2 linked regions of the Rhinolophus ferrumequinum genome follow. The protein of the gene in region 2 purifies or fractionates together with the protein of the main gene of each other region. This does not show direct contact. Links are inferred from orthologs where the notes say so. Each region holds a gene or a part of one and is shown on either strand. Other genes may lie near its edges.

The links. The genes of interacting proteins can lie anywhere in the genome.
Region 1: the proteins of GP6 (region 2) and LYN purify together in Homo sapiens (affinity purification with western blotting; 5 studies listed by BioGRID and IntAct, with this or other methods). This does not show direct contact. The link is inferred for Rhinolophus ferrumequinum from reciprocal best matches to the Homo sapiens genes GP6 and LYN.

What each region holds. Positions count from the first base shown.
Region 1 is NC_046297.1:22,212,486-22,219,776, reverse strand, and holds the start of LYN (tyrosine-protein kinase Lyn), read left to right. Parts: upstream 1-4,290; 5' UTR 4,291-4,586; coding exon 4,587-5,061; intron 5,062-7,291. UniProt on the Homo sapiens protein: Non-receptor tyrosine-protein kinase that transmits signals from cell surface receptors and plays an important role in the regulation of innate and adaptive immune responses, hematopoiesis, responses to growth factors and cytokines, integrin signaling, but also responses to DNA damage and genotoxic agents.
Region 2 is NC_046298.1:48,294,610-48,302,412, forward strand, and holds the start of GP6 (platelet glycoprotein VI), read right to left. Parts: upstream 3,019-7,803; 5' UTR 2,535-3,018; coding exon 2,501-2,534; intron 1,137-2,500; coding exon 1,101-1,136; intron 985-1,100; coding exon 727-984; intron 1-726. Other genes in the region: RDH13 (retinol dehydrogenase 13), read right to left, coding at 7,091-7,335.

The DNA.
Region 1 (7,291 bases), on a different chromosome or scaffold from region 2:
GATATTATGTCAAAATGAAAAACTAAATATATGAGGTTCTAGATACCTTCAGAGCAGCTAGAAAACAGATTTGGCACCTCTAGAATTAGAACTGGGGGCAGGGCAGATACTAAGGTCCTGAGACCAGCTTGATTTGAGGGTCTGGGCATCCTCACTGAAGATCAGAAGGTAGGGAAGGAGGAGGATGTGGCACTAGGGCCTCCTTCCTCAGAAAGGAAACAGAAATGAAGTCAGAATCAATTCTCCCTCTTACCTGCTAGACACTCCCCAGTAGGCCCCAGAACCCCCAATCTGACTACATGAGACAATATTTTTATGCATAGTTTTACATTGTGGTCTAATTACCATGTAGCACCATTTTGTGTATCATTGAAGGACAAATTAACTTTGCTATAAATTTGATAAGATTCCAATGCTAATTATGTTATGGGAGCTATTACCATTATAATTTGGCTCAGTTTTTAACATTTCTCGTTCAGGTAGCATGGATGTTCCTTTATAACGTGAAAGTATTGAGAAGGCCCTGGCCTACATTTAGCCCTGTTTGCTTTCAGGCGCTAAATGTGTGCTGTTTCTGTGATGTACCGGGCTGAGAAGCCCCAACTTTGTAGAAGGTGTTGCAAACTAAGGGGACAAGCTCCAGCTTTGATGTCAGTCAGTCAGACAGAAAGGGGTTCAAATCCAGCGGGAGCCACTTCAGCAAGGTGAATTTGAGAAAGTTCCCTACCCCTTTGGAGACCATTTTCATGTCTATCAAATGTAGAAAATAAAACCTGGTTGGTGTGAGGATTGACTAGAGGCTTTAACATAACACGACCTGTCCAGTTTCTGGGAGGTAGTTCTGACAGAAAGCTTCAGAAACCAGCCTCTTCCCAAGGAACTCTGGATGAACCAACACTCTTGCTTCCCTCTGTGAAACACCGCTCTATCCCTCCAGCAAAATGAACCCTCTCCTCTTGGCAACACTTACATACTTTTCCAAAAGTCAGTGGTTTTCATGTCAATTTGTGCCTGCTACTACAAATAGGCAATTTAATTAAATAGAAACTTAAAAAATATGAGTGAAGATGTTATTGCTATGCAAACTAAGTTGAATATTTGAAAGCAGTCACAGGTAAATAATGGTAAAAGCAAATAATTCTGCTGCATTAGGTGTGGGTAAGGTAGCTGAGAAGGTAAGAGACTGAGTGAGTGACACGGCTTTGCCGGCTTTTCTTCTGCTTCCACAAAGGTATAATTAGAAATCAGAGATGAGTTTTCATGGGTGTCTTTTAGGTAAGAAAGGTGACACAGAAACACCAAGCAGGGGTCTCATACTCAGAGGAAACACCCTGGCATTACACAACAGATTGGCAGTAATTGAATATACTTTAGGTTAAAATACAAGTAAAATGTCTAAAGCACATTTATATCATTTTTATGATTTCCCCCACTTTAAACAATGGTTTTGATTCATCGGGCCCAAGTGTGTCAGATGAGAGTCTTTCTAGTGTATTTTATTGGAATGCTGGTGATGGGTAGAAACCCATTTGTTTGGCAAACATGTCCCATATTCTCCCAGGATGTTTGGTTGGGATGCTTTCATAGTGGCTCCCAATCCTGGCTGCTTATTGGAACCATCCAGGGAGCTTGATTATTGGGTCCCATTTTCTCCCACCCCACCAACTTTGATTTAATTATCTGGGTCGGACCTGGGCAGGTGAGTCTCATGTGCCACTGCTCTGTATTATGTGCTACTTGGGCCTCAAGAACCAGGTCTGCAGCCATGTTTGTAAGAGTCAGATGGAGAGTCTTATCCTCCACTCTTCCCCTTCCTGCAAGGCCAACCAGGAGGCTTGTGCAGACAATCCAAAAGAGTCCCTGTGTTGGACTGAGGAGTCTGAAACCCGGAAAGGCAGCTCCCAGAAGAGTGGAAGGGGCACCAGGGACAGTCCATAGCTAAGCAGTAGGATGGGCTGCAGATCAGACGGCAGGGGGGGTAGGCTGGTGTGAAAGTGTGCACCAGGAGTGACCAGTCTCGGCTGCAAGTGCCATGGTCAGGGGTGTGGTGATGAAAGCCTGTGTTGAAGGAGAATTTCCTTGAGGTCAGAGATTTCATGTCTCTTCCAGTGAATGATGGTATGTTCTTATCACAGTCAATTCTCATTATTTGCCGTAGTTATGATCTATAAAGTTACCACAAACAATGAATTAGCTAACATCGAAACATTGTTCCTGGGACGAATACAGGGTTGGGTTGCTGTGAGTCTCTCTGGTCACCATATTTACATCAACTGATGTATAGATGACCTTGTTTTATGTGTGAATCTCCTGAAAGACACCTTATTTAATATATATTGTTGACTCACTAACATTGAACTCACAGCCAACAGCACCATAACTCACACCTGAACGAAGCTTCTCTAACACACGTATTTCCTCCACAAGACACATCAAAGCCTTCTTGCTCTTAGGACACTAGACAGCACTTCAGCACTACACTTGAGGGTAGTGAAACATTGAAATCAAAAACAAAAAGCACAGAAATGAAAAACCAAGGCACTACACAGACCACACAAAAGATGCATGTTTATAGTATTAGAGCTAAAACAGAAGGCAGGGCATCGCCTTGTTTGACGTTGGCTGGGAGTGTGAACGCAGAGAGATTCAAATTTTTACTGCTGTGCTCACGTCCACAAATGACTATGAAGTGCTGTGAGTACTGGTTTTGGGGTTACAGATACATTTTAGTGAGTAGGTAAATTTGCAAATGCGGAATCTGAATCTGAAAAAACTAAGAATGGATTGTACGTAGTTGAAGCCATTTTCACTCCTCCTTCCTTCTGTCCTCCTTGCTTACATCCCTCACCTTCTGCAAAGCCTGCTTCCCCTGTCAAGGGGTCTTTGTTGATTTGCAACCTGCCTCTGATCATTCCATTCTGTGCTCAATTCTCAATAGAGAAGACTGTTGAGACAACTCAGTCCATCAATCAAGAACCAATCCATCAATGCTAACGAAGTATTTTAAAGCACCTAAGAAGACTTTTGAGGGATACAATGGGAAAAGGGTAAATGTAAGAAGCAATGCCTTCCAAAGAGGGATTTACTATTTACCAGTAGTTGAGAGAAAGTTAACATGTGAAACCAAGGTAGACAATGCTAAAAAGTACCTAAGTCTGGTTTAAAATGACTGTTTCCCACTGTAAGCGCTCTAGATAAATTAAGTGACGAACTTAGCTAGGATGCTTTTGTGTGAGGACTTAGAAATGGTGATGAGTGAAAGCCCAGCTCTGCCTGATGATGCTTTGTTCCTTACTCCAGGAGACATTTTACCAAAAACCACAGGTTATTCCAGATGGATTAACCAACACCAAATATTTTGTTTCCCATTCTTTATTGCCAACATACCTTTAGCAGGATCTTAAGGACTCACTGGTAATAGTAAATATTTAATTTAGGGCCAATGTACTTGAGAGGTCAACCTGATGAAAAGTCCAGGAAATGGGACTTAGGCAGTGAATTACTCCATAGAATCTGTGACAGATTTCACTCACACAATCAACACCTTCCAACAGGCAACCTACTCCCTCCTCTTCAGCAGGAAACTAACCACTACAGACCCATACCAGTGAACATCACAGGTATAAACTACCTTGCTTTTTATTTTTTTTTTCATTTAAGGCAGTAGTTTGCAAACCTTCTATTCTCTTACCAGTAACAAATGACTGATTTATGGGATTTTGTTTCAAGGTGGCTGATCTCACTGCTGGACTGTGGCTGTAGCCTCCTCAGGTGGGGCCAGCCTCTTAAGAACATTGTTAATAAAAGGTAATTGGTCTGAAGTGCTTAGCGCTGTATCCGGCACCCAAGAGTCCCCATGTAAGTGTTTGCTATTATTAACACAAAGACCACATCTTCTACAGGGTTCTGTTTATTTCCTTGTAAATTCCACAGTGTAGTGCAATGCTGGGATCCCAGTGAACAGAATCTTGCTTAGAACAAGTGCGCATCCACGGTGACTGAGACTAATATTATGCCTTGGATTTATAAGTGTCATTTACTGACTTGGAATACACACTTGAAGACGCAGTCATTCTTTCAACAAACACTGTGTTTGGCACCTGTCATGTGCCAAACACAGTGTTACATGTGGAGATGTGGAGATAGTAGGAATAAAAAGTTAGCAACCATTAATGTGTGCTAGACACAGCGTGAGCCCATCCTCCCGGTAACCCTGCGAGGTAGGCATCCATTTTCCCAGGAGGAAATCTAAGTTTTGAGGAACTGAGTAGTTGCCAAGCCATTTAACTCAGGAGCCCCCTGCCTCCCATCAATACTCTGAACACCACCGTGTACACCCTTAAGGAGCTTACTCTGTACTCATTAAGAACTCAATGAAGCACCAACTCAACACATCTCATCCTACCTTTAAAGAACTCCAAAAGTTGGGGGATCAGAGCACGCCACCTCTCCTGTCAGGGACACCCCACTTCCTAATACCTTGAGAACTAGGTTGGAAGGGAAGGAAAGAAGAAGCAAGATGTTTCGTCTGTGCCAAGACTCCAGAGGGTCTCACTGGAAGATCCTTCTGTCGTCTCTACAACAGAATGTTGGGCCCGAGGCAGCTCCGCTCACTGGGACGCCAGGTTTCTTTGCCTTCAAAGCTCCGCGCGACGGCCACACGAAAGATCCAAACCTTGGGCAGGGTCCAAACGGTCACTTCCCCGCCCCCTGGGCGCAGTATGCAAATCCGAGCACCAGGAAGTAGCTGGGACCTCTCGGCCGAGCCCAGCGACAGCCAGTTCCTCTCCCGCCGCGCCCGGCCGCCCGCCGCTCGTTCTCGGCCGTGGCGCCTCCGGGACCGACGCGCTGCAGCCTCCAGCTCGTGTCAGGCGGGGCGGCCGCGTCACCCCGGGCCCCTAGCCTGCAGACCCCCGCCGCTCGTCCTCGGTTCCCAGCCCGCAGCCCCACTCTACGCGAGCCCTGCTGGGCCGCCCCGTCGCGCCCCGGGCTCTGAACTCAAGTCACCGTGGAGCGCCGCCGCCGCCGCCCCCTTCGCCCCGCTACTTTCACCGCGAGCTGGTGAGTCTCAAGCACCAAGAGCGCGGGCTCCAGGGCGGACCGGGCGGGGTCCGCCTCTGTGCCACTGGCTGGAGTCTCGGGCGTGAGGCAGGCCCTGGGCCAGGGGCCGGGGGTCGGCGCGGACCGCGGGAACGTGGGACGCACGCCCCTTCCTGCCAGTCCTGGCGCTCGGCCGGGCGGTGAGGGCACCCAGATGCCTTCAGCCTGTGGGTGACCGGGCCAGGAGGGGCGAGGACGCGGGGGCGAGCAGCTCAGCAGGTGTCTCCTCCAGGGAGCCGCGCAGGGGTGTGGTGGAAGAGCGGGCGCGCGGGCGGACACACCTCGAGGCCCTCTGGCGCAGACCCGAGGGCCGCATGCTGTCCCCACTCGGCCACTCCCAGAGCGTCACAGGGAAGCCCCTCTCCACGCAGAGTGGGCGCGGCAGGGATTCTGGCCGGGACCCTGGTGGGGATTCCTCGGGTTGCACAATCTGGGCTTCCCGTTGGGCCCAGGTCCCCAGAGGCGAGGGGTGGGGCTCGGTCGCGGCCCTCTTCCAGACCCGCGGGCAGTTGCCCTCCTCCAGAGCCCCGGCAGCAGCGTGACGTCGAGGGGGTGCGGTGGAGGCTGGTGCGCACCCTCCCGCTGAGCCAGGCGCCTCTCGGCCTGCAGAGCAGCAGTCCCGTGCCTCGGTCCGCCTGGAGGAAGCGAGAGTTATTTTAAGAATTCAGGGGTTGCCTTTCTTTTGCCTTGGGGGAAGGGTGTAAGCGTCACTTCCCACTGTCCTGCGTTATCTTGGCCTCCTGTGATGGCTTCTAGATGCTGTACAGCCAGCGTGGTTCTGTGGTCATGTCTCCAACGTGTGTTTGTGTTTTACCCCAAATCCACCCAACTACTTTGCCGTCTCAGAAACCCGAGTGGAATGGAGGCCTTACAATTTCCCACCTGAGTGTGAACCTGGGCTTGTGGTTGAAATACCCTTTTTGAGTTTCCTCATCTTTGGGAGAACCTGTCTACCTCCTGTGCTATTTGTTGTAGTTATTTAATGAATGGCGCTGTTATTTATTGCAAATAATTCTTTCCATAAAAAAAAAAAAAACAAGGCTCCCTGGTTCTTTGCAATTTGATGATTTTAAACCTAAGACTATCTGTCTGATTTAGCCACCTGTCCTTATTAATAAATCTGCTTAATAAATATACCAGAGTTTTGCTGTCCCAAAGCAGGGCCCAGGAGTCTGGCTCACCCTAAGACTAGCCAATAAGGATGTCTGACTTACTTGTGATTTATTGGCTGCCCTCAGCTGGCTGTAGGGTTCAGGAAGACAGGCAACACCTAAAGTAGTGCCACCGGGAGTAGGCACCGACAGAATACAGGCAGTTCTTAAGTACTCAAAGTCCTTCCAGTAAGTGAGCTCTGCTGGCAAATGGTGGGATTCAGGTAATCCCTGGTTTTCACTTGGAGGTAAAGAAGTAAATGTCTTAAGACTTGAAGAACTTTAACTTGATCACAAGAGGCTTTTGGTGATAGGGCCTTTTTAAATGCACAGTGGGACAACCCTGTTCCTGAGGAAAGGTTAGAAGGCCCCAAAGTAAGGGAAGAGAACACAGAAGCCAGGAAACCTGAGGTAGGGTCTGTTCTACCATTTACCAGAGCTATGATTTGGGATAAGTTACTTGGGCCATTTATTTAGCCAACGTTTCCTTCATAGAAGTAATCAGAGTTATATTATGAATTGCTAGCGTGTGTATACTACAATGAAAGCTCCATGATTACAGCTTTGTCTGTCTTGTCTGAAATGCTAGCCCCGGAGCCTCTCACATAGTTGAGATTACTTGGAAGAACGAATGAAGTATGGCCCTATGCAAGGCAGAAGGAACAGGCCTGGTTCCTAAGGCATTTGAAGCCTACCGGTCCTCTGTCCTGGTTTCTAAAGCGGGGATTTGAGGGACTTTTTGGACTGTTAAGTTATCTCAGAGCCAGCTCTAAGTGGGAAACTCCACTCAGGACTGGTTACTCTGCTGTATTACCTGGAGAAGGGGCTTGATTTGGAGTATAAGATATAGCCTGCAAAAGTAGTTTGGCAACCCAAAAGACCCACTTTATCTTAGAGTCATTGGTGTAGCAAAGATATGTGGAGAATTTGTATTCTTTTAGTAGAAAAGTAGTCCAGCAGTTTTGCACATCAATGATTTTCAAAGACTTTTAGTTCCACTATATTTGTATTCAAAAATAAATCACCAAAACATCTGAGAT
Region 2 (7,803 bases):
GAGCCATGTTGAAGACTGAGGCAAAGGTTCCAAATGGTTTTCTGTACTTCTTTTGGTTAATTTTTTCCACACTATTAGCATAGTTGAAAAATATTGACAATTTCTACAGTAGGTTATTAAAACTCAAAACACTACTTTAAGTTGAAATATTTTATTTATAACCCCCCCCCAAAAAAAAAAGACAGGATTTATTATCATTTTAACACTTCTGGCTTTCATGGAAACAAACTCATCGATATTTTCAAAACCTATCTTGGAAAATAACCATTTAAAATGCATTGGAAAGAAAAGCATAAGCTGGGGACATTTTATTCCATCTAAAAATAAAAAAACGCATTAGTGCATGAATAGAGGGGTGCACCTTTTTCCTTTTGCATCAGGCTGGGCTATGGCTGGACCATCACTGACGGATTCTGTGTTTACTTAAAATTGTCATATTTTGCTCATCATGGATGTTTTTGCATTGATTTTGACTTTTGTAAAAAGATAACATTATTGGTGAAAGCACTAACATATGACTTACGTTGATTAAGGTTTGTGGCACGTCTCCTAAATGTAACACTCAAGGTCAGTGCCTCACTGGCCCCACCCAATCCCAGCCCCCTGGGCCACTGAATTTACTGTCATCATCATCTCCATTTTCACCCTCTTCCAGCCCAAAACTGAGGACCATTTCGCCCTGAGGCCACATGTCCAGTTACACCCCACCCCCTCCTGTCCAGTTACCAGTAGCCACCAGCTCCAGCTTGTCACTGGAGAGAGACCAGCAGGTCCCGTTCTGGTAGAAGCAACGGTAGCATCCAGCGAAACTTTTTTTCATGGCCGGGATATGGAGGACAGCCTGGTCGTTATACTTCCCAGATTTCAGTTTCTCCAGGCGGTACAAGTCCACGCCTGGGGGCCCCTGGCAACGGATGGTCACTGGATTCTCCAGGGGCACAAGAGAGCTGGGGTGGGCCTGGAGGGAGGGCTTGGGTAGCGGGCCTGGAAGGGAAGCAGAGGGTAGTGGAGGAGAGCCCCCAAACAGCACCCTCCTCCTGAGCCCTCACACCCCTACTGCCCTCTCACTGTCTGACCCCAGAGGAGGGATCCCCACTCACAATTCTGAGCTTGTATCACCTGCTCCAGACACAGCCCTGAGGACAAAAGAAAAGGACCAAATGCTAGAACCTTGAGTGAACTCACACTTCCTGCATGCTGGGCATGGTGATAGGACATTTGTATGCTCAGCTTTCTTTTGTCATAATTGTTTTCTCAAAGATACACATGCACATAATTGAAGTGAAAGAAGCCAGCCGTAAAAAGCCACTACTGTGTGATTCCATATATATGAAATGTCCAGAAGAGGTCAATCTGTCCAGAGACAGAAAGCAGATTAATGGTTGTCAGGGGCCGGGGGAGGCGACGTGGAGGGGTGAGTGCAGTGGGTATGGAATTTCCTTTGGGAGGGGTGAAATGTCTTGGAACCAGATAGAGGTGACGGTCGCACAGCAATGCAAATGTCATGAATGGTAAATTTTCTGTTAAGTATGTGATTTTGCCATGAGGTTTGTTGATTTTAAGCCAGCAGGGAATTGCTTGCCCGCGCCAGCTCCCTCCAGGACCCCACCCCATGCACACACTTTTGATGACTAGATAGAGAAGTACCTCCTCTTTGAGAAAGGGATTGTGTGTCGAGTGGGGTCTCTTACTTTTTTCTCCAGGTTTATCAAGATATAATTGACATATAACATTGTGTAAGTTCAAGATATACAATGTATTGATTTCATAAATTTATATATGGCAACATGATTGCCACCTTAGCATTAGCTGACACCTCCATCAGGTCACATAATTACCATTTCTTTTTTGTGGTGAGGACAGTTAAGATCAACTCTCTTGACAACTTTCAAGTATATGAGTATAATACAGTATTGTTAGCTATACTCACCATGCTGGACATTAGACCCCCAGAACTTATTCATCTTATATGGAAGTTTGTACCCTTCAACCAACATCTCCCTATTTCCCACCCCTGGCCCCTGGAAACAACCATTCTACTCTCTGCTCCCATGAGTTCAGCTTTTTTAGATTCCACATATAAATGAGGTCATGCAGTATTTTCTTTCTCTGTCCGGCTTATCTCACTCAGCATAATACCCTCAAGGTCCACCCACCCATGTTGTAGCAAATGGCAGGATTAGTGGAGCCAGTACCATGAGGAAGAATGAATGACAAGTTAAATCTATAACCTCGTCCTGATATTACTGAGTCCACATTTTTAAAAAATTATGTAGTGGGAGAAAGTTGTGGCCAAAACTAGGAAACTTGTGTTCATTTCCTGGCCCAGCCAAGGATAGACTACAACAACTCAGACAAACACTCCGCCGCCCTGGGCCCCACCCAACAAATGAATGGGCCTCTTGCTCCAAACTTCACTGCCCACATGTTTAAAACCTTCTTTGTCTCGTAACCCACTGCCTGCCCCTCAGCATTTCCCAAATCAACCCTCAGGACTCACCGAGGCAGAGGAGGACAGCCTGGAGTGGGGACATGGTTCCTCAGGAGGGAAGCTGTGCAGGAGCAGAGACACGGGAGGCGATGAGAACGAAGCAGGCGCTCCTCCCTCCCCCGCCAGCCTGGCTTTTCCTAATTGAGACTTATCACGCGGGAGCTGTTCCTGCTGCAGAATGACTTGCACACAGCTCCAAGGAGCCTCAGTTATCTCTCGTCACCAGCCCAGGTCATACCCTGTGGGCCTATGGAGGGACTGTCCATGTTCTGATACTTCCATAAACTTCCTATCCCTCACTGGGAATATGCAAATCAAAACCACTACAAGATATCACTTCACACCCACTGGGATGGCTGTCATCAACCAGACAAATAATAACAAGTGGTGGTGAGGCTGTGGAGCAGATGGAATCCTCAGGCATGGCTAATGGGAATGGAAAATGGTGCAGCCACTATGGAAAACACTATGATGGTTGTTCAAAATGTTAAACATCGAATTGCCACATGATCCACTAATTCCACTCCTGGGTATAAACCCAAAAGAATTAAAAACAGAACCTGAATAGATGTTTGCACACCCATATTCATAGCAGCATTATTCAAAAAAGCCAAAAATGAGGGAGAAACCCAAGTGTCCATTGATGAATAAACAAACTGTGGCATATTCATACAATGAAATATTATTCAGCCTTAAAAAAGGAACAAGAGGGGCCGGCCCAGTGGCTCAGGCGGTTAGAGCTCCATGCTCCTAACTCCAAAGGCTGCCAGTTCAATTCCCACATGGGCCAGTGGGCTCTCAACCACAAGCCAGTTCAATTCCTCGAGTCCCACAAGGGATGGTGGGCTCCGCCCCCTGCAAATAACATTGAACACGGCACCTTGAGCTGAGCTGCCTCCCGGATGGCTCAATTGGTTGGAGTGCATCCTCTCAACCACAAGGTTGCCAGTTCGACTCCCACAAGGGATGGTGGGCTGTGCCCCCTGCAACTAGAAAACGGCAACTGGACCTGGATCTGAGCTGCACCCTCCACAACTAAGATTGAAAGGACAACAACTTGACTTAGGAAAAAAAAAATCCTGGAAGTAGACACTGTTCCCCAATAAAGTCCTGTTCCCCTTCCCCAATAAAATATCTTTAAAAAAAAAAAAAAAAGAAAAAGGAACAAGAGGGGAACAACCAAGATGGCACAGTAGGTAAACACTGTGTTTACCTTCTCTCACAATCACATCAAAGTTACAACTAATGTACAAAACAACCATTATTGAGAATCACCTAAAATTAAGCTGAACTGAAGCCTTTCAACTAAGGATGTGCAGAAGAAGCCACTCCAGACTGGTAGGAAGGTCAGAGACGCGGAACAGGCTGGTCCCACACCTGTGTGTGAGCATTAGGGATTGGGAGGGCTATTTCACCTGTGGGGGTCCCCCTCCCCTAAAGGAGCAAAAGATCCCAGCCCCACCCCAGCCGAGGGTTCCATTGGGGGGAGAGAACTCCCCATAATTTCTGGTTGTGAAAACCAGTGGAGATTGTGACTTAGTGAGACTGAGGGCGGCTGCACTCACAGGTGCTCCCCTTAAAGGGACGGCGCACTGACTTACCCACCAACGGAATCCCTTGCTCTGAGCTCCAGCGCTGGGGCAGCAGCTGGAAAGGCAGCAGGGACAAATGATGGCAATTGAGTTCTCTGGCTTGGGAGAGGGGCTGGAGAGACAGCTTTCTCCTGGACAAGGAAGCTGGTGGAGGCCATTTTTTCTTTGTTGAGCCCTCCACCTTCCCAGGGGGCAAACACAGGCAGCCCCCATATCTGAGTCTCCACAGTTCATTCACCACACGCTGGTGATTTGAGACTCAGCTCTGCCCAACTTTGGGGCACACCCTGGCCACTTTCAGTGGGTTTTCCATGCAGTCTGCCTGCCACTGCTCAAGCTGCAGACTTTTCTAGCATCTCTCAAAGTTAGCGGAACCCAGACAAGCAGCATCTGGCTTGAGCATATCCTGTAGTGGCAGCTGGCCTTAGTTTGCAGCTGGGCCTCTCAAAGTGCTTCCAAGCACAGCACAGGCAGCAGCCATCTGCAGATTTCTTTCTGGCTTCCACTGGGTGCCCCCAGGTGGGGCACAGGCTATGGCTGAAGTAAGCCTACAGCGGATCCCCTCCAAGGTGGTCCTAGTGCTGGTACGCCCAGTGCCAGCTTCAAAACGAGCTGGAGCATCACCTAGCCACCTCCAAATAGAACACACCCAAGGGGCACATTGGGCAGGCACCTGAGTCCTGCTGAGGCAGATCCTGTTCCATAGGATCAGCCCCTGCACAACTCTTCCACTGTAGTCAAGGCCAGTCCTCACAACCAGTGAGCCCAAGGGTCAGTCCCTCACACTGATGTGCAATTATCAACCAAGGCTCAACTACAACAGGAGGGCACACACAACCCACACAAAGGACACACCTGGAGTGTGTGGCTCAGGCGATCAGAAAGACTGTGCCACTGAAACCTACAGCACACGTACTACATAAGGCCATTCTACTAAGACCAGAAGACATAGCAGGCCTACCTACTACATAGAAACAGACACAGGGAGGCAGCCAAAATGGGGAGACAAAGAAACATGTCCCAAGTAAAAGAACAGAACACAGCTCCAGAAAAAAAACTAAGCAAAATGGAGATACGCAATCTATCAGACACAGAGTTCCAAACACTGGTTATAAGAATGCTCAATGATCTCAGGGAGAACTGCAACAGAGAGATAGGAAGCATAAAAATGGAGATGGAAACCATAAAAAAGAACCAGTCAGAAATAAAGCATTCAATAATGGAAACAAAGAATATATTACAAGGAATCAACAGTAGATTAGATGAAGCAAAGGATCCAACCAGCAATGTAGAAGATAAGGCAGAAGAAAATACCCAACCAGAACAGCAAAAAGAAAAAAGAATCCAAAAAACTGAGGAGTTTACGGGGCCTTCAAGACAATATCAAGCATACCAACATTCACATTATTGGGGTACCAGAAAGAGAAGAGAGACAGCAAAAATATGAAAACCTATTTGAAGAAATAATGACAGAAAACTTCCCTAACCTGGTGAAGGAAATGGACAAAGTGACAGTTACTATAATGTAGGGAATATAACCAATTGTAAAGATCATGTAAGGTGCCAGATGGGCACTGGACTTATCAGGGGGATCACGTCATAGACTGTGCAGATGCCTGACCAATGCGCTGTACACCTGCGCAGTTATATTAGTGGCCAATGGCTCACTGGTTACAGCTGACGGCCAACTAGCCACAGCTGATGGCCATCCAATCACAGTTGATGGCCATTTACTACCTGAGCCAGCACCTTTCCACGTGAGGCCGAGAGCCTGGAAACTGCACTCCTGGCTCTGTCCCCACAGTAACAGAAAGAAAACTAACTGGATTTATAAAGTGTTGGGTGTCTTTGATTCAGCCTCCACCACTCCCCTCCCCCCACTGCTGGCATCCAGGGCCAGTCATTCTGTGCTGTTTTGTGGATTGTAGGATGTGATGCAGTACCCCTGACCTCCCGAAGTATGGTAAATATTAAATAATACATTTTTTAATGTTAAAATGTTTATCTGGATTACTGAGCTTTTGGTGCCATCCCCCCTCGAATCTGTGCCCGAGCTAAGTGCCAGCCCTGTTTCTAACACAGAAGACAGCTAGACTTCAATGACTGTCGCCACATAAAAAGAGGGAAGGGACCCTTTCACCTCTAAACATCTGAACATGATTGTTTTATTGTCCTGATATTTAACCTGACGTCTGAGTTTCCCAAAAGGAAGAAATACATGAGTTGTTCTTGTTCAGCTCGTTGGCACTTCCTCAGTGGCATGGAGGAAGAAAATAAAACCTGTGACTCAGCTAGATGTTTTATTATTAGTCTATTTAAAGAATAAGCTTGAGAGTCTATGGGCCAAGGAAAGGTCATGACTCCGGCATCCGGGGTCCTCAGCAGCAGCAGCTGTTGTCCAGGGCGTGACTGGGGGATAACAAGGCCAGGTCTGGCTTATGTAAGACCCTCAGTAAACTTCCTCTGGGAAGGAATGCACACTACTATTCACTGAGCCAAGAAATGACCTGTTCGGCATCACGCCATCCTGTGAGGTAGTCAAGATATTGAACACATTCTACAGTTGGAGAAACCGAGACTCGGAGAGGAGGCTGGAGCTGTACAAGGTCCCACAGAGAACCGTGAACTCGACCGTGTCCGTCAGACAACTTGTCCATAGCCATAAGGTCCCCAACTGTGGCCCACACCAGAGGCTCCTCTCGGCAGGCACAGTGCCCCAGCCAACCCCTGGGTAAGGTGCCCACCTGCAGTCCAATCCACTGTGGCCACAAAAGAAAAAAACCAGGTCAATACTGCCATTTAGAGGGTGATGTGGGCATGGCAGCCAGCATTCCTTGGCCAGTGCTGCCACCTAGAGGTGAAGCGGGTATGGCAGCCACGTTCCTTGAAATCTTGAGGCCCATACAATACTGCCACCTAGACGGTGATGTGGGCATGGCAGTTATCCTTGGTCTTGCTCCATCCTGATGACTCTGCCTCCTTGGTGGCTTTCACACCTGCTCCCAGGTTATTTGGGGAGGAGCTCTCCCCTCACAGAGGACCCATGAGACATCTCTAAGCCCACCAGGCGGGCACTTTCAGCCCAAAGCCTCCGGGCTACCTCCTCATCCTCTGCCTCAGGGGCCGGAGCTTTCTCTTTAAGTCCATCGAAGTACTTTCCAGAAACGCCTTCCAGTTCCTCCGCCACCACCAGGTAAGTGCTGGGCTGGGCCGCCAGCTGGGGGCTCTTGACCAGCAGCCAGAAGATGGGTCCTGCAATCAGCCCACAGAACATTCAGTCCACACACACTCAGAGAGGAGTACACAGAAAGCCCTACACCACCCCCAGGACACAGGGCCCACTGAGGCCAGACGTTGGCCTTTAGTCCCACAGAGCCCAGTTCCAGGCCTTTGCTCCTAGGGTGTCCTCCACCAGGAATTCCCTTCCCTCGCTCTGCCTAGCCAAATCCCTCCAGATGCAGGGACTAACCGAAAAGCTGCCTCCCCCAGGAAGCCTCCCTGGCTTTCCCAGGCAGATGGAAGGCCTCTGTCCTCTCTGTCAGCCCTGAGTCCCACCCTGCCCCATCGTGCTTTAAAATAACGAGTACTTGTTGAGCACCTCCAGTGCCAGCCTCAGCCTAAGACCCTTGACACTTGGCACTCACCTACTGAATGTTTCTCAGCATTACAAATCCAATTATAAAGTTCTAATTATTTACTCAGCTTAAATCTGGGCCAGGC